2 linked regions of the Tamandua tetradactyla genome follow. The protein of the gene in region 1 interacts with the protein of each later gene in a pairwise test. Links are inferred from orthologs where the notes say so. Each region holds a gene or a part of one and is shown on either strand. Other genes may lie near its edges.

The links.
Region 2: the proteins of LSMEM2 (region 1) and LSMEM1 interact in binary tests that used the Homo sapiens proteins (3 or more experiments, as listed by UniProt). The two-hybrid records come from large-scale screens. The link is inferred for Tamandua tetradactyla from reciprocal best matches to the Homo sapiens genes LSMEM2 and LSMEM1.

Annotation. Positions count from the first base shown.
Region 1 is NC_135341.1:35,808,831-35,818,436, reverse strand, and holds LSMEM2 (leucine-rich single-pass membrane protein 2), read left to right. Parts: upstream 1-5,639; 5' UTR 5,640-5,721; coding exon 5,722-5,743; intron 5,744-7,962; coding exon 7,963-8,073; intron 8,074-8,177; coding exon 8,178-8,363; intron 8,364-8,580; coding exon 8,581-8,714; 3' UTR 8,715-9,594; downstream 9,595-9,606. Other genes in the region: SEMA3B (semaphorin-3B), read left to right, coding at 809-954, 1,043-1,154, 1,271-1,340, 1,453-1,597, 1,913-2,132, 2,381-2,472, 2,551-2,592, 2,837-2,994 and 3 more.
Region 2 is NC_135327.1:151,803,189-151,812,904, reverse strand, and holds the start of LSMEM1 (leucine-rich single-pass membrane protein 1), read right to left. Parts: upstream 4,273-9,716; 5' UTR 1-4,272. Other genes in the region: IFRD1 (interferon-related developmental regulator 1), read right to left, coding at 4,617-4,706, 7,087-7,182, 7,604-7,732.

The sequences.
Region 1 (9,606 bases):
GCGGCCCTCACACCTGCACAGGGTGGTGCTGAGCAAGGCCCAGGGAGCGAGTGAGCAATGGATGCAGCCATTTCTCACTGAATACCTACCAGGCACCAGGCCCCAAGCCAGGGGACCCAGGCAGACAAGACAGGTGTGATCTGTGCCCTGGTGAGCACAGAGACTTCATAACAAACACATAAGATCAGTTCCAGTGGCCATGGGGCCAAGGAGAGAACAGAGAGGAGGGGAAAGAAGTTGGAGGAGTGTGCTAAGGGGGAGTGTGAACTAACTCCCAAAGCACAAGAGAGCCATACAGGAGAACTGAGGGAAGAACATTCCAGGCAGAGGAAATGGTTAGTGCAAAGGCCCCGAGGCAGGGACAGACTCTTGGAAGGAGCAGGGGTAAAGGACCAGGACTGTGAGGGGCCAGGGTAGTTTATTCTAGGAACAATGGGATGGAAAGGGAAGCTTTGAAGCAGAGTGGACTTCCTGGTGAGGGGGATTCATGACTGAAGTAGAAACTGGACTCTCCACCTCCCTCTTTTCCTGGCCCTTAGACCTGGGGAACAGAAAAGGGTTAAATCTTTGGCCTCCTGGGGTCCCCTTCCGCTTGCACAGGGAGCCACGGTCTCTGCTTCCCCCTCGTGGCTATCGCGTACATTGCAGGCCCTGCCCCTTTGGATTGGGTGGGTTCCCGGGCTGCCCCGAAGATGCTGCTCCCAGGACTCCCGCCGGCACCTGGGGGTGGATGGGCAGCAGGCGGGTCCCATAACGGAGGTGGAGAGGGGCCAGAACTCCCTGACCCTGTGCCTCTTACTGCTGCCAGAGCCCAAGTTCGTCAAGGTCTTTTGGATCCCAGAGAGCGAGAACCCGGACGATGACAAGATCTACTTCTTCTTCCGTGAGTCTGCGGTGGAGGCGGCGCCGGCACTAGGACGCCTCTCTGTGTCCCGCGTCGGTCAGATCTGCCGGGTGAGGAGTCGCCGGACCGTGCTGTACCACCCAGCCCCACCCGCTTTCCCACCCGGCCCGCGCTTATCCCCTCTGCTCAACCCCACAGAATGATGTGGGTGGCCAGCGCAGCCTGGTCAACAAGTGGACAACGTTTCTGAAGGCGCGTCTGGTGTGCTCGATACCTGGTGCTGAGGGCGACACCCATTTCGATCAGCTCCGTGAGTGCCCGGAGTGGGGAATGAGTGGGGAGTGGAGGGCGGGGGTGCAGACCCCCTGAGTAGGGCCTGCCCAGCCCAGCTGTGCGCCCTCCCTCAACCAAGCCCATTCCTTGCAGAAGATGTGTTCCTTCTGCCCTCGCGGGACCGCCGAAGCCCTCTGCTTTATGCTGTTTTCACCACGTCCAGGTCTGGGTAGTGAGGGGCTCTGGGGTGGGGTGCTAGAGGGCACCAGGGGCCAGATGGGCTGGGCTAGGTTCAAACCCACGCCCCCTGTCCCTGCCCTGGTCTTTGCCTGCAGCGGAGTCTTCCAGGGCTCAGCCGTGTGTGTGTACAGCATGAACGACGTGCGCCGGGCTTTCCTGGGACCCTTTGCCCACAAGGAAGGTCCCATGCACCAGTGGGTGTCCTACCAGGGCCGCGTCCCCTATCCCCGACCTGGCATGGTGCGTGGGCCAGGGACTCCTGCCACAACCGACTCCAAAGCCTCAGGGCTGGAGAATTCAGCCCAGGGTCTTCTTGGTGAATGTGTTTGCCTCTTTTTGATAAGGGTCGGAAAAGGTCAATGTCACCAGAGCTCCTCAGGGGTGGGCCATGCTTTTCCCCTCAGCACCCCAGGGCAGGGCTGGATATCCTCTCTCACATGCCCAGGGCAGGTCTCTCTCTTCCCCCACCCCCCCTCCCAAGTCCCCTGTAGACCTTCATGAGGGGCTGCCCACCAGGCCCCCATACCCACACCCCTGCTGTGTCCCCCTGTCCAGTGTCCCAGCAAGACCTTTGGCACCTTCAGTTCTACCAAGGACTTCCCAGATGATGTCATCCAGTTTGCCCGGACCCACCCTCTCATGTACAACTCAGTCCTGCCCATGGCAGGGCGCCCTCTCTTCCTGCAAGTGGGTGCTGGATACACCTTCACCCAGATTGCCGCTGACCGTGTGGCCGCTGCCGATGGACATTATGACGTCCTCTTCATTGGCACAGGTGCGGGCCCTGCCACGCCCACCCATAGGCTCTCATTCAGGCTCCTTGGCCTGGCAGTAGAAGCTCTTCCTGTTCAGTTCCACCTCCATAACCTTTGGGCTGTGTTTCCTTCTCCTCCTGGCTGCTGCCTTGGTTGCTCCAGCTCACGCCCTCCACAGATCCAGCCGTACTAAGGGCCAGGCCTCTGAAGCCCCTGCCCTGGCTAGCAGGGAACACCAGGGAGCACTCACCCCTTCTCATCCCTCCAGATGCAGGCACAGTGCTGAAAGTGATCTCGGTCCCCAAAGGTGGCAGGCCGAGCGCAGAGGGCCTGCTCCTGGAGGAGCTGCATGTGTTTGAGGTGAGGTCTTGCTCTAAGTCCTCCTAGGCCCCCCCAACCCACTGAGGCCTGATCCCCCCCACCCCTTCTCCCTCTTAGGATGCTGCCGCTGTCACCAGCATGCAGATCTCTTCCAAGAGGGTGAGTGACCACAAGGATGTGTGTGGGATGGACTGAGCTTGTGCCCGGGGAGCCCCCACCTCTCAAGCCTCCCTTGGTAGTCCGCAGCCCCAGACTCTAGAGTAGGCTCTGCCTTCCCTACACTGCGTAACCTAAGTGAGACCTCAGTGCTCCCAACCGTTAAGAGCGGGGAGGATCTCTGACTGGTGGGAGGCGGGTGCAGGGCCGCCCTCGGTCAGCGCGGAGCCCCTTGTGCCGCCCCCAGCACCAGCTGTACGTAGCCTCGCGGAGCGCGGTGGCCCAGATCGCGCTCCACCGCTGCGCCGCCCACGGCCGCGCCTGCGCCGAATGCTGCCTGGCGCGTGACCCCTACTGCGCCTGGGATGGGGCCACTTGCACGCGCTTCCAGCCCAGTGCCAAGAGGTGGGCGGGGACGGGGACGGGGATGGGGGCGGACCTCCGGGCAGGAGCTGGAGGGTCTTTCGTGGCCAGGAATGGAAGAAGGACTCACTGCCTTCCACTTTCCCCTCAGGAGGTTCCGGCGGCAAGACATAAGGAACGGCGACCCCAGCACGCTGTGTTCCGGGGGTGAGTGTCCCGGGGCCCTTATCCTTCAGACCCTCTCGGCCTTGCGGGGCCTGAATCGGACCCTTCCCTTGCCCCAGACCTGTCCCGCCCGGCACTGCTGGAACGGAAAGTGTTTGGCGTGGAGGGCGGCAGCGCCTTCCTGGAGTGTGAGCCCCGTTCGCTGCAGGCGCGCGTGGAATGGACTTTCCAGAGTGTGGGGAAGGCGGTCCACACCCAGGTGAGCCTCACTCCACCCCTCCCAACCGGCTCCCTGTTCCGTCACCCACATCTACGAGAGGCCCTTCCAGGCCTAATGAGGCCCTTGATTTGCCTTCCCCATGTAGGCGAAGTTCCACCCGTCTAGGCCCCATACGCGTCGCGTCCAATTTGGTCCCTTACCTGCCCCTCACATCCGGGTGAGGACCCGTTCCTTCCAACTAGGCTCCTGGTAGACCCGTCCACTGAGGTCTTTGACGTAGCCCCCTACGTTCAGGTGAACCGTGCCCATCAGCCTTCAAGTGTGCACCTGCGGGCACGCTTTGCCCTCTCCCGCTCGGCCCCTGATGTCCCTATGCCTCTCTGTTCCTCTCTCCGATGGGGATCCCTCTTCCGGGCACCGACGCCCCAGCCTCACATCCGCCCCACCCGCAGGTACCCGCCGAGGATCGCGCCGAGCGTACGGCGCAGGGGCTGCTACTGCGCAGGCTGCGGCGCGGGGACTCAGGACTGTACCTCTGCGCGGCGGTAGAGCAGGGCTTCTCGCAGCCTCTGCGTCGCCTGTCACTGCACGTGCTGAGCTCCGCGCAGGCCGAGCAGTTAGCACGGCCCGAGGAGGCTGTGCCCGCTGCGCTGCCGGGCCCCAAGCTCTGGTACCGAGACTTCCTGCAGCTGGTGGAGCCCGGTGGCGGCGGCCCGAGCTCCTTGCGCATGTGTCGCTCACCGCCCGCGCAGCGTCTGCCATCCCCGGAATCGAGGAGGAAAGGCCGCAACCGGAGGACTCACAGCCCCGAGCAGCGCGCGGAACGGGGGCCACGCAGCGCGGCCCATTGATGACATGGGCATTTCCATGCCGAGGACTTGCAGGGCGGGAGAGGGGAAGGATAGGCCCTGGGACGCGGAGAAGGACAGATCTGGGCTGGGGTCACTGTGGATTCCAGCCGACTGCAACACCGACAGGCTCTGGCCGAGGGGCAGCTGCACAGGCTTATTTATTAACAGATGATAAAAAACCCTTGAATGTAGCCCCGGAGGCGTGGCCCAGGCTGGGTGCTGAGTCTGGCAAGTCAGGAGGGGGTAGACAAGCGGGGCTGGTTAGAACCAGCCACAAGGGCTGGGGAGGTGTCTGTTGTGCCCACCCTGGGAGACCCCTTCTTGAGCAGCCAGCAGGAAGCTGTGAATAGGCCAGGCTGCTGGGGACAGGGGTGGGACAGGCCGACTGTACTAAAACAATGCAATAAACATATTATCAGCCAAAGCTACACTGGCCCCAGTGGGCAGCCTCTCGTCCTAGTACTTACTATGTGGCCTTGGTCATCTTCCCACCAATCTCAGCTTTTCCTTCTGTCCAAGGATGCCTGGTGAGAATTAAAGGTGTTTCCATGTGACCAAGCAGGTTCTGCAGGGCCTTTGGGGATACAGTATATGCTGAATAACATAATTTCATGGCTAAGTGCTATGAAGAAAATAAAACTGAGTATTGTGGAAGAGTGTGAACAGAAGACCTCACTGAAGGGTGACATTTGAGCTTAATGACAAGGACCCAGCCAAGGGGATATTTGGGGCAGAGCATTCCAGAAGAAAGGAACAGCTAGTGCAAAGGTTGTGCGGTAGAAATGAACTTGCCATTGTTAAAGCTGCTGTGTGACACAGTGGAGTGATAGATTTTACATGCTTTAGGAAGTAGAGCCTATGGGTTTCTACTAGTTAGGAAGGAGAGATACACAAAGGCTAGAAAGGGTGGCTCCTTTACTCAAGTTTATAAACTAATAGCAGTTCCAGCTTTCAATCTAGATATGCGGACTGCGCAGCATGGATATCCGTATATGTGGGGAATCTCTGCCCCCTTGTGGTTCCTCAGAGACCAGCTGCCTTCAGCCCCTGCTCTACTATAGGGACATGGTGGAGGTTGTTTGTTGCATGTTTGCTGGGGGAGTACCAGTGTGCTGTGGGTGGAGGTTTGCAGGGTGGAGATGCACAGAGTTCCCTTGCATGTCTTGGCTGTTGTGTGGGGGCATTGCTGGAGGCTGAGCCCTAGAGGCAGCCAGTTTGGATGCAGTCTCTGGAGCCCGTGCATGTATAGGATGGTGTACATTTCTGAAAAGGACCTGGGTACATGCACTAGTGGAGGCGTGCCTGGCCTGGGCTCCTTCACTGGGAGGATAGTCTAGGCTGGCCCATGTCAGTCACTCTGCCACTTCCCAGGACTGAGAGCTGCCCTGTCTAAATATAGCCTGGTGGGCTGAGCTCAGGCCTATTTTAAGCCCCTACTGGGAGGAGGCCAGGCCTTCCCTAGGCTCTCAGGAGCCACTGCTGTCTCCATCCAGTCCTGCTACTGGACACAGTCACCGGCTCCAACTGCGTACCATGCCTGAGGAGGCGCAAGAAGGTAGGAGGGTGTCCACGAGGGGAGGGCAAGGACTCTGTCCTGTGACTCTGTGAACCGTGGAGAAACCCACCCCTGCCCTACTGACTTCACTTCCTTGGCAGGTCATAGTGTCCATGTCCCAGCTTGAGTAAAGGGACCTGTCTCTGTGATAGAGGGGGGGCACACCATGCCTGGAACCCCTCCTCATCATAGGCCCTGCCTCAGCTTCCCTTGGTGGGAACAGCAGGGAAGGATTAGGGGGACTGCCCAGTTGGGGGCAGGTCAGCTATGGGCTATGTCCAAGCGGGTTTAGGCATCCAGGCAGTTCAGCTCTTCCTTCAGGGAGAAAGCTGGGGCTGAAGGTAGGCAGTGTTTGCAGGAAGCACATGGGTACCTGGCTGGGGGGCTAGGCATAGACAGGCCTCTGTCTTCCCCCAACTTGGATCTCAGTGTCCTCAACTCACTGACAGTCAGGGTCCCTTGGCTGGCCGGATTGACTCAGCTAGTTAAGTCCTTAGTGGTCACTCACCTAGCTGTCCCACTGCATGCAAGAGGAATGGAGGCTTAGAGAGGCTGAGCACTAAGGACACACGTGTGCAGCTTCCTTCAGGTGAGGTGCCAGCCAGGATGCAGGACCAGATGCATCATGGCTCTAGCTTATGGCTCAGTTTGATCCAGCTGGTCAACTACCCCCTTCCCACCCCTGCATAGATTTTCATCCATTTTCAAAAGGATAGGAGGTGCCTGGCCCCTGGTGAGAGGGTAATGTCTGCCTCATTTTGGGGTCATAACAATAGCATTTACCATGTGTTCCTCCTGGTAACAAACAGAATCCATGTTTCTTTTAGAAAGTGTGAGAAAAGCAACGTGAAAAGAGAATTTAACATGACCCCCAACCCACCTCTCAGACATAATGACTGGCACAGTCTGTTTCTGTTAACTTGCTTTTGGGCATTTCAATGGGCAGTTTTCAAACTAATCAAATGTTGAGCTACTGTTCTGAGAGTAAGCTCTGGAGTGCGCCAGGTACCCCTATTCCCAGAGTGGTTATTTTCCCAATGAACCACTGCCTGCCCTCTCCTTACACTACCTAGCTTTTAGCTGGACATCTGGAGGTCTCAAAGGCCTAAGATTAAAAAGCTTAAAAAAAAAAAAATCCAAAAAGAGCAATAATAAAAAAAAAACAGAATGAAATACTTAGAAATCACAAAATAAACACTTCTATGGATCCAAAAATAATTCAAGTTATAAGAAAAATACACAGACCTCAGTTGACTAAATTCATAGAGGCTTTGAATAGATAATTCCTGATCAGGAAGCCACAAACATAATAATGACCAGGCCCCCTGGACAAAGAAACTCAAATACTAAGAAAGGCCTTTTCTCTTTTCTCGAAGTCACAAACATGTGCTTGTGTATGCAAACATTTCTTTCAACGGGGATGCCTAATGCTGACGATGCTATCTCTACCCTGTTGAGGGTTCCGGCCAGTCATTCTGGAGCACAGCCAGCCATTGCCCTTCGATCCAGTAATTCTACTTCTGGGAATTTATCCTTACTAACTATTGAGAAATTGGGGGAAAACCTTCATGCTCAATGATGGATGTTGTTCTGGGACATCCAAAAGGAATTGGAAACAACCTTAAAGTCCAGGCAGCCTCAAAGCGATGTCTGAAGAGAGAGCTCAGGGCATGTGAGTCTGATAACAAAGAGTGCTCTCCTGCCAGGATGGTGAGTGAACAGAGGGGTTCACCTAAGTACAGCACAATCCTGCACTGAGTAGGTTAAAGAATGCAGAACTAGGCCAGGAGGGAAAGGCATCACAGAGGCTTGAGGGGGGCTGCCTTTGCATGGGGCAGAGGAGGTGCCAGGCACTGGGTCTGGCCTGACAGCTAACCTACAGGGCCTGCAGGAAAAAAACAATAGAAGAAGCAGGACTAAATTCCATGCACTGTGGTTGAAGTCCTGCAAGGTTGATAAACTATGCAGTAGAAATGAGCAAGCAAAGGAACATGAGAAAATCCTTGAGGCGTCCAAAGGGAAACAAATATGAGGAATGTAAACGGGCCTCTTGCCAATGGAAGTTTGGGGTCACCCAGGCACTCAACTAAGGGTCACCCCTGAGTCCATCTTAGGCAATTCATAGCCAAACGCCCCACTGTCTCCATCATGCCCGAGGTCCCCTGGGGAGGAGGAAAGGGGTGAATTGTGGCTGAGTCTGCCCCCTGCTGCCCCTGCAGACATCATGGTGCCGACACTGAGCCCCAGGAGCAGGGCGACACTGGCCCCCAACCACCTGCAGGAGGTGTGCCTGCACCGGGTAGAGTCCATCAGCGACCTACACAGCGGAGGTGAGGGCGGCAGGTGCGGGGGGCGGGGGGGGAAGATGCATTGGGGGAGGGGAGGAAAGCAGGCACACCCACTGCCAACCCCCCATGTCCCATCTGCCCTGCAGGCTCACTGCATCCCTTCCTGGCCGAGGAGGCGCGGCCATGGGACGAGCTGCTGGGGGTCTTGCCCCCATCCCTGTGCACCCAGGCGGGCTGCAGCCCTGTGCACGGCCGCCGGGGGTTCCTGCTGCTGCTCATGCTGCTGGTGCTCACCTGCCTGGCGCTCGCCGTCCTGGCCGTCTACCTGAGCGGTATGGAAGGCGTGTGGCACCAGTGGGCACCAAGGGGAAGGAAGTGGGACCTGCAGGCCTTTATGTGCAGTTGGAGGGTACAGCTGCTCAGGCAGCGGCAGTGGGGGGGGGGGGGATTCCTAGGCAGCCCCTGGTGCTGGGCTGGGTCGAGTAGGGAGGGGTCACTGGGTAGCACATGGCCTGACAACCACCCCCAACCCCTGCCGCTCATCTGCAGTGCTGCAGAGTGAATCCCTGCGCATGCTGGCGCACACACTGAGCACTCAGGAGGAGACGCTACTCAAACTTCGGCTCGCCAGCCTCAGCCAGCTGCGGAGGCTCAACTCCAGCCAGGCCCAAATGCCCAGTTGAAGTGCTGCCAGGACCTGGGGCCTGGGTATATGAGGGTGGAATAAAGAGGTCATTGGCAGGCCTCTCTTCCCCGGCTGCTACTATGGCTAAACTACTTCCTTGGAGAGATTTTTATAAAGAATCCAATCTGACCCCACAGCTACCTCCCTCTCCTGACCTCTTCCAGCTAGACCTAGCCAAGCCTGATGCTAAGACCCGGCTTTGGGTTTCCAAGGTCAGAGGAGGGGGCACCAGCTCATGGCCCAGTCAGCACCCCCGAACACCCTTAAATAACAGATCAGAAGTCCAGAAATAGCTGTCTCCCACTCGATTACCTAACCTTGGCCAGGTCTCCCAGTGGGAGTCTAGCCTCAGCTCCCAAAGACAGGTTGGGTTCTGAGTAGGAGGAGTTCACCCTTAGAGGGCAAAGATGAGATGGAGGAGACCTAGCTGGGCCCAAGTCTAGAGTGATGAATTGGGAGAGGGGGAGGCAGGGAGAAATATCCAGGAGCCAGGACCACATAAGGCTGAGCATTCTGTTTAATTATCTCTAATAATCTTATAACAATCAGCACATATATCCATTCCAGGTCCTTACCTCCCCATCTGCTGCCCAGAGGCTCTACTGGCCCCTCCCCCAAAGAAATGGGTCACCCTAGGGGAGCAAGGGCAGGAAGAGAAAGGAAAGGACAGCCCCATCACCCTCACCGCATGCCCCTGCCTGTCCCACAGCCTTAGGGCAGACACACAGCTGGCTCGGCCTAAGACAGGGCAGGAAGAGGCCACAGGGCTGTGTGCAGGGGTAAAGAGCCAGGGTTCCAAGTGATCTGGCACCCAGCTCTCTACTCCTGTGTCTCTTTTTGGTTTTGTCATTAAAAAAATAAAGCGATAATCACTGGTAGAGACCAGTCGT
Region 2 (9,716 bases), on another chromosome or scaffold:
GCTTTATTCTGTGAGCTTCTGTGCATCCTGCTTTCTCAGTAAAGTCATTTCCTTCTCTTGTGCGACTCCCTCATATACAAGCCAAGGAGCTTCTGCCCTCTGGCGAGCGTAAAAGATGCTACAATCTGTGAGATCCCAGCAGGATGCTGAGTTAGGTTGTAAACGAATATGCAGTCCTTTGTAATCCTAACTTCCATTGTCAGGACTAGGAGGTCATTTTTCATCCTTGAAACATTTTTCACTTCAGTTAAAAAATGTTTGCTTCACAAAATGTCCTTTACACTTATATTCAGTATGGATCTTACACTCCTTTTGGGGAAAAGGACAAATTCAAGGAAGAAGACAATGAACTAGCAAATGTTTTCTCAAAAAGAACTATGCCAAATTTCTCGGAAGAGTGAAAATGTTCATGTTAACTATAATTTTTTTGTATTAGCTATTATTTTAATGATCATGGCCAGTTAAAAGAATCTTTCAACTACCTGGTCTGTCTTAAAATATCTGTCCTTTGAAGCAGTATTAGCGTCATTTTGAGCATTTCCCATGTTTTTTCTCTGTTGTAATCTTACATCTTTGAAGTATTAACCCCCTCTTTAGGGATGAGGAAAATGGGAACTAAGGAATTTGTCTGAAGAAACACAGGTAGCAAGTGGCAGAGCTGAATTCAACCATACTTTTACCCCATGAGGGGCAAGAAACTTACAGTTTGTGACTAGACATCTGGAGAACTACTTAAGATCAAAGCAAGATAATCTACCTCATTTTAGCTATTATGCACTTGATAGAGCTTGGGTCACAGACAAAAATATTCTCATATGTTCAATCTGGGGACATTTCCAAATATTTCTTACATTCTATTTTGCCATATCTAGATTCAACTCCCAGGAAATTCAGTAAATGCCATCAAAGACGAGTCACAAATACTGCTTCAAAATTGATCTTGAGCCTCAAAATGAAAAGCTTATGAGGCAGGGACCATTTAAATTCCTTCAAACCAGCAAGATTAACCAAAAATCAAGCAAACAATTGATCTATCACACACCAATCTTACTTTCAAGAAAATTCATGCATTTTCTTTTCCTCAAGCATTCTTAAACACTGAATCCCCAATAATCTTTGTCTAGCGATCTTCTTTAGCTTTGTGAATAAAAGGCCCCATTTCTATTTACTAAGCAGAGTTGCCAATTAAAACACTTATCTCCTCTGCCTCCCAAAAGGCAGATTAGTATTAAAAATTACAAAAACCACAAGAATGAATTTCATGGAGTTCCAAAAGAAAGAAAACTTGGAGACGGGGGGCATGGAGGAGGAATTAAAAAGCTCACCAAAGCACATTTCATGCAATTTTAGAACATAGACTCTAAGAACTTCAAGAAAGGAAAAAAAATCACTAGAATTTAGAAATAAAAATTTCATCAGGCATCTCAGTATCACTTTACTGTTTTTTATTTCTTGTTTTTATTTATTTATTGTTTTATTGTTCTTTAGAAAACAATGAAACAAGGTCTTCAAAATTCCAAACTTGATTTTTTTACCTAGAATTTTATACCCGGCAAACTGTTACTCAGAAAAATTAAGTTTAAAAATATCTAATAGTACAGTTGTTAAAATGTAGTATCAGTTGTGGCAAATAATCCACACCAATGCACGGTGTTGGTGCTGGGGTGGTGTACAGGGAGCTTGTATTTCATGCACGATTGTTTTGTAAACCCACTTCTCTAATTAAAAAATAAATAAATAATTGTCCCTCTCATGCATCAATTCCCAGAATGCTAATGAAATAAGTGCTCCATATCAACAGAGAAGACCAAAGATCCAGGAAATGTGGGATCCAAACTAAGGGAAAGGAAAAATGAAGGGAGGAAAACAAACCCCCAGGATAAAGTGAGATCTCAGGAAAACAAAAGTACACTAGGATGAGAAATTGGACTGAAGAAGGAAACATATTATAAGGGTTTGACAACATGGAAAACAGAATCAGAAGTTTCACAAATCTATTTGGGACTGTTTGGATTGAACTAGTGATAAGTGTGTATAAATCCAAGAAAGAGAAGAATTAGTGATGTGCATATAAATCCAAGAAATAAGATGACAATTGTTAACTCCAGAAGTAGTTTTACAGGAATGGAAATGTAAACACTCGAGTTCAAGAGTGAACATATAAATATGGTTGTAATATAAAGAAAGCTGCTGATTTAACCAGAAAATAAAAATTTTTTGAGGATGGGAAAGGTTAAAAAGACAAATTCACCCCCATTTTCATAGGGAGTTGACAAATGTCTAAAAGTAAAAAAAACTAAGAAATACAGTGTGCTGGTTTGAAATGATGTATGTACCCTGGAAAAGCCATGTTTTAATTCTAATCTCATTTTGTAAAGGCGGCTGTTTCTTCTAATTCCTATTCAGTACTGTATGTTTGAAACTGTAATTAGATCACCCCCCTGGAGATGTGATTTAATCAAGAGTGGTTGTTAAACTGGATTAGGTAAAAGACATGTCTCCAGCCATTTGGGTGCGTCTTGATTAGTTTTTGAAGTCCTATAAAAGAGGAAACATTCTGGAGAATGAGATTCAGAGCAGAGCAGAAAGACATAGCCACGAGAAGCAGAGTTCACCAGCCAGCGACCTTTTGAGAGGAAGAAAGAAAATGCCTCCAGGGGAGCTTCATGAAACAGGAAGCCAGGAGAAGCTAGCAGATGACGGGGTGTTCGCCATGTGCCCTTCCAGATGAAAGGGGAACCCTGACCATGTTCACCATGTGCCTTTCCATATGAGAGAGACTCTGTGTTTGCCATGTGTGCTTCCACTTGAGAAAGAAACTGTGAACTTCATCGGCCTTCTTGAACCAAGGTTATCTGTCTCTGGACACCTTAGATTGGACATTTCTATAGATTTGTTTCAATTGGGACATTTTCTCAGCCTTAGAACTGTAAACAAGCAACTTATTGAATTCCCCTTTTTAAAAGCCATTCTGTTTCTGGTATATTGCATTCCTGCAGCTTGCAAACTAGAATACAGAGCTATAAGCGTGTTATTTAGAAACCTGAAACCAAGATGCTAGAAAAACTTGAAGTCTACATGTCCCCTGGGATGGAAATGAGTGAGTAGAAAAATGGGCAGGAAGCTAACTTTTTTCATTATAAGCCTTGAAGTACTATTGAACCATGTATATCTCATTAACAAAAATTCATTTTTATCAAAAATATGTATACATATATGTATTTTAAAACTTAGAAAAACACTTCACAATTTCCTTCCCATGGTTCTAACCTATTTGGAATATAAGGAGGTGGTAACACACAAACCTAAGTCAGAAATTCCAAATCTGTTTTCCATTCTACTATACCGAAACATGAAACTCACCCTCCTATCAGCAAGTGACTATAAGCCAGCCAAAGATTTTCACGCAGGGAACACATCAGACCTTCCAGGAGTTAGGGACGTGGGAGAAGAACATTAGTTTGGAAAATACCTAGCTACTTCTTTCTAAAAGGTACCTACTTCTCTACCCCTCACTCCATCCCTCTATCACTGTTTTCTGCAGTAAGAATATCAAAGAAACAAGTCTATGAATTCTCAACTGTAGATATTGTTGGTACTATACAAATTTAATAGTAATATCAGTAATTAAATCAGTCAACATGCTTACAACTTTCTTTAAAATGAAAAAAAAAAAACACCTCATGGGAAAACCAAGCAGCAGCATCCTTAAGTCAGTAACTTGAATACCAATTACATATCGCTACATTTTTTCAGCTACTTAAGTCAGTAACTTGAATACCAATTACATATTGCTACATTTTTTCAGCTACTTTAATGTGTTTTCAGATATGCAAATGAAGATTTTGTCTCACCCCCTCCCTACCTGGCTTGGTCATTTTGAATGCTCTATGTTAAACCCATAATATTTTTCTTCTATTAAAAACTAAACACTCTAAGTGTGAAAAGATCTTTTATTTTAAAGTAAAGAGCACAATGTCTTGCACAGCAGATAAAATTAGTAATTAACGGCTTTTGGAGATTAAGGTTAGCAACCTTTCCGGCATATGCTAATTCATCATGAACTCCCAATAGGTGAACTGAAATTGCCTTTAAGTGCAGCTGCAAGGACTCAAGGTCTAATTCCTTTTGTCCAACCCAGTGACAAAATTAAAATAACTATGTTCCAATTAAAATTTAAAATACAGCAGCTTTCTCAGAGGAACATGCTCCCAAAAAGTGTATCCAGAACTCATTTGTCTAAGATCATAATTTTATACCTTGTATGTATACATCATTATAAATCAATATTTCTGACAACTATAGTATTAGAAATTTAACCTTTTATAATAGCTTTTTACATTATGAGAAATAAAATGAAAAAAGATTTTTTCTCTTCATAAACAGAATATGACCAAACACTTTATTCATGTTTACCGATTCTATTTACAAAGAATACTTAATAATCAGAACTCACCATTTGCAATACTGTACATTAAATTATAAGTAATATAAGCCCTACTACAAGTTATCTATGTTCATCCCAAGATAAAAACTATCAAGAGTTTAAATACATTAGAAATTAACAACAAAAAAAAATTCAAAAGGAAATTAGAAAGTCTTCAAGTGCTGAAAATCTAGAAGAATTCTCCAACATCTGCCCTCTTATCACGACATTTGCTTCGAGCTTTTGTTCGAGCTTTAAAGGCTGCAGAGTTATATAAATGCTGAAATGAAGAAAGGAAAATACGTGTGGGTCACTGAGGCTTATACTCCTACAAAATGAGAAAAAAAAAATCACGAAGGAAACAAACACTAATTTGACACTACAAAAATTTTAAATGCTCTTTCTGGCCATCCTTCCATACCACCATAATGGTGTGTCTCAATGTCCTGGCTGATGCCATCAAGAGCATTAACAATGCCAAGAACAGCCAAACACTAGGTTCCTTTTAGGCTGTGCACCAAAGTCACTGTCCAGTTTCTAATTGTGATGATGAAGCATGTTTACACTGGGGAATTTGAAATCATTGTTGATTCCAGAGCTGGGAAAATTGTGGACCTCACAGGCAGGTTACACAAGTATGGAATGATCAATCCCAGATTTGATGTACAACTCAAAAGATTAAGAAAAATGGCAAATAATCTGCTCTGCATCCCATCAGTTCGGTTTCATTGTACTGACAACCTCACTTGGCATTACGGAGCATGAGGAAGCAGGAGGAAAATACATGGGTGGGGGTGGGTGGAAATCCAGGGTGTTTTTTTTTCTAGTGATGTAACACATACATGCATATAAAGTGCCTTAGTGGGGAAAAAAGTGCTTGTAAAATACACACAAAAACAACATTTGAGTGTGGGAATTTAAACATGTAACAATTAATGGCTATGCCATACTAAGAAAAAAATCAAATACATTAAGAAAAACGTAAATAAAGGGCCTCAATATGAATTAAAATGGTCAGCCTGCTGTCAACTAAAACAAAGTATTATAAAGACCAGGTGTTTAAATAAAATAAAGCTGCCTCCTTGAATCAACAGGGGATTTGAGTTGAGCTATATATTTCTAATTGCTTTCCCATATGTACCAAATTTAACAAAATGTTTCAAAAGGAAAAAAAAGGGAAAAAATGATGGGGTGTCATATTAATACCTATTTATCAAATATTTAAAATTATAAAATCCAGTGCTGTCAAGTCTGTGTGTAATACACGTGTCTTCATTCATTGCTAGAGACATTAAAAATTATAGAATAACTTTGGAAGGTAATTTCCAATACATATCAAAAAACTACAATCGAGCCCTATATTCCATGCAGGGGATTTCTTCTAAGAAATAATTCAAACAAAACAAATATGTAAAAAGGTTAATATTTTAAAAGAGTTTTTAAATATCAATTGTGTGGACATAAAATTATTACAAATATAAAAATGTAATTAAGCATTTCACACTCACCAGGATGGACATAAGAAATTTTTTTTTTATGGAAAAAAAGTGTTGGGGAGGATGTAGAGAAATGAGAATACTTTAACTTGCTGGTAGGAAAGTAAAATGGTGCAGATACTATGGAAAAGTTTAAATTAAACACAGAATTACCATATAATCCAGCAATTCCACTCTAGATATATACCCAAAGAACTGAAAACAGGAACTCAAATTAAAACTTGCACTCGAATGTTCACAGCAGTGCTATTCACAATCACCAAAAGGTGGGAACAATACATATGTCCATCAACTTAATGGCTGGATAAACAAAATGTGGAATGGCCATACAATGAAATATTACCCATAAAAAGAATGAAGCACTAATACATGCTACAACATGGATAAACCTCAAAAACATGCTAAGTGGACAACACCAGACACAAAAAGTCACCTAATTGTCAACTCCATTTATATGACTATCCAGAATATGTAAATTTAGAGGCAGAAAGCAGATTAGTGGTTACTAGGGGATGGGGCAGGAGGGAATGGGACGTGGCTGCTGAATGGGTACAGGATTTCCTTCTGAGGTAATAAAAACGTTTTTGAACAAAATAAAGGTGATGATTGCACAACACTGAATGTACTAAAAGCCACCGAGAACTGTACACTTTCAAATGGTTAATTTTGTTATGTGAAAATTACCTCAATTTAAGAAAACAAAAATTTTTTTATGAGTTTTTGGAATATTAAGTGAAAATATGATGTTAATTACTATTTAATGTTACAAACTCTGATCACTTAGTGATTTTAGAAATGAAGACATGAAGTAGGCTCAACATCTGATACAAAAGAAATATTATATAAATACTTACATTTAAATATCAAAACTCCACTGAATAAAAGGAAAAAAAAATGAAAAATAACTTCTGTGTTAAGATTATAGAATTCATGGGTAAAATTTTTTTCATTGAAAACCTCCCACAATCTAAATGCTTCTGCATTTTCAGTATAGCCATTCTATGTTTCAAATATCATGAAAAACTAGAATTTCACATTTGGACAGAATGCCTGTCACCTGGTAGGATCAAAGCTTTGGCACCACTTTTCTTTGGTGCCTTTAGTTTTGGTCAAAAACAAACCCAATAAAAAAAAAAAACTAACAACAACAACAAAAAAACCTACCCTTTCAAAACGAGAAATCTTCATTGTTTTAAGAGCTGCAGCATCAAGCATCACCGGGGGTCCAAGTTCAAATACATTGCGAAGGAATTCATTTGACTTATGTAAAACAGAAAAAGGTGCTAAGATTCAGTATTAAATATCATAGGACTTTTCAATACATAAAGAGAATCTGACTCAAAGAAGTTATGTGGAACCTTCAAATATGGACTAGGCTAAGCTCACTTATTTCCTGTTTTTCAGTATGGGACCAAATTGCTTTCAATGCCTTGAATCCAAGAAAGCTATGCCAAGCTATTTGCTTTTACATAAGGACATCAATAGCAGAGGTTTAAATTAAAGGTGGTCCATCAGACTTACACAACTAAAAAAACAAAAAATTCACTTTCATATTTATTCAGTTTTACTTTCAAAATCAGATTTATGGTACTGTTTTCTGGATATTCAAAAGCCAATTAAATGACATTCAAAACTGCTTCCTAATTTAAAAGCAAAAATAGAAAGTATGTCACTCATTTACCTGCAAGTGATACTGCATCCCAGATGCAAGAACCTCCTTAAAAGTATCATAGGTATGTTTTTTTACCCAGCAATCAATATACATGCGTTCAGGACCAAATTTAACAGTTTCTGTTGGAAAATCTCGTTCCTAGTCAACAAAAGAATCAAAATTATAGGAAGTAATAAAACGGCCCAAAGAGAAGAATTTAGGTAAACACAATTTCTAAATAGACATATAAATGTTAAGATGAATTAACAACATGGTTTCAAGTGAAACCTCCATACCTGAGATATGTACAGATTTATTAAAGGTGCCATTCTATACGTAAGGGTACAGAATTTGTCTGATTGTGGCAGACTTAAAGGCACAACTGAGTTTGGATACATAGTAATGGCAAAACCACACTGCTGTGACTTTTTAAAAAGAATTTCAACAGCACTTGACAAACTTCAAGAGTCATATAGGGTCCCAGCCACTAGAAATCTCCAAGAGGCCAAGGAGTAGGATTATTAAGAAAAAGAGAAGTCACATCAGAGTTAAAGATTTCAGAGTTGAAAATTCTGCCAGAAAACAATTCCTAAGGTATAACTATGAGAGAGTGGTCCAAGTGAAATGGAAGTAACAGTCTCTAGAACAAATAGAGGATATGGTTTTCCAAATGCGTAAAACCACCCAGAAAGGTCATGGAACTTGGGTACGAAAAGAAAACCGGCTGCTCAATTCTTTGATGAAATCATGAATATGGAAGAACAAGCAGAAAGGGAATAGCTGCTAGACAGAGACAACAGAAAGGTGATGGAGCCTTCAAGAAAGGTGAAGGGGCAAGACCATTCTAGCTGCCTACCCCACATCTACTCAGTCCCTTTCGCTTCCAGCAGACACAGTATATAATGATTGGAAAAAACATAAATTCTAGAATTACATGGATATCCACTCACCCTGCCTGTGACTTTGACAAGAAATGTGATTTCTTTAATCTGTTCCATTGCCTGTAAAATGGTGATATCCATACCTATACCATATTTTTTTTTATGGTTCCTTCTCCCACAGGCTCTCTCTTAATATCTCCCACAATCTAGCACCATGCTCCAGCTATCAACAGGTATGTTCCCCTGCCCATTACAGATAAGCTTTTTAAAAAAAGAGTGGTTGACGCACACCATTCACTACTTCTTCACTTCCCATTCACTCTTTAATCGACTTCATCTGGCTTTTATCCCATCATGCCACTGAAACTGCTAGGTCACCAACAACCTCTTGAAAATTCCAATAGATATTTCTGACTCTGTCTTACTTGACCCATCTACAGCATTTAGCCCTGCTGAAAGAAAGCACAGTACAGTGGGTTCAAATTCCAGCTTTGCTACTTGCTATTCTTTACTTCTTTTGTCCCCATTTTTCCTTAAAAAAACAGTGCTATTGCTTAAGAGCTGGCATGGAACTGAAATAAGAAAATTGTGTACGTGGAAGCACCTAACTTTGTCAAAGCTTGCTGATTTGAGGAATGAATGAGTTTCAAGGGGGATTTTTTTTGGATTAAGAGAAATGGTGCAGCAGCAGCATGCAAAAGATAAACTGTGTAATTCTCCTCTGTGTCAAACAACCTTCATTTAAAAGATCCATGGAAGGGGGGTCCTGAAAGCTAGGTTTCAGTAAAAACAAAGAGAAAAGAACACTTAGCAAAGCTCTCAGAATAGGTATTTCTTCATCAAGTGTGTTGTAGCAGAGGCTGCAGAAACAGTAAAAGGGAAGAAAAACTTTAATCCTGGGACAGAGAGGAGGGAGGTGGGTAAGGCTTGAGAAAGTATATCACTATAGAACTGGAGTATGAAATAATCAGAGGACTTTCATTTTTAGCAGTGCCTGAACGATACTTGGACAAGAGGCCTGTTTAAATCTGGTGCAAGTTGAGATTTCACTTGTGTCTTTCTCAGAATAATCACTGCTACATGCTGAGGCTGGCCTAAGCTGATGGGCTCACTGGGGTCTGTCAGGTCCTGTTGACCCTTATCATTTATTATCCAGGATGCATCAAAAGAGAAAATCTGCAATCAGGTCTAATCCAGAAAATCTAGGACATGTTGCTATATCAGATAGAAATAACTAAAGAAATTTACATTTTTAAGTCAAG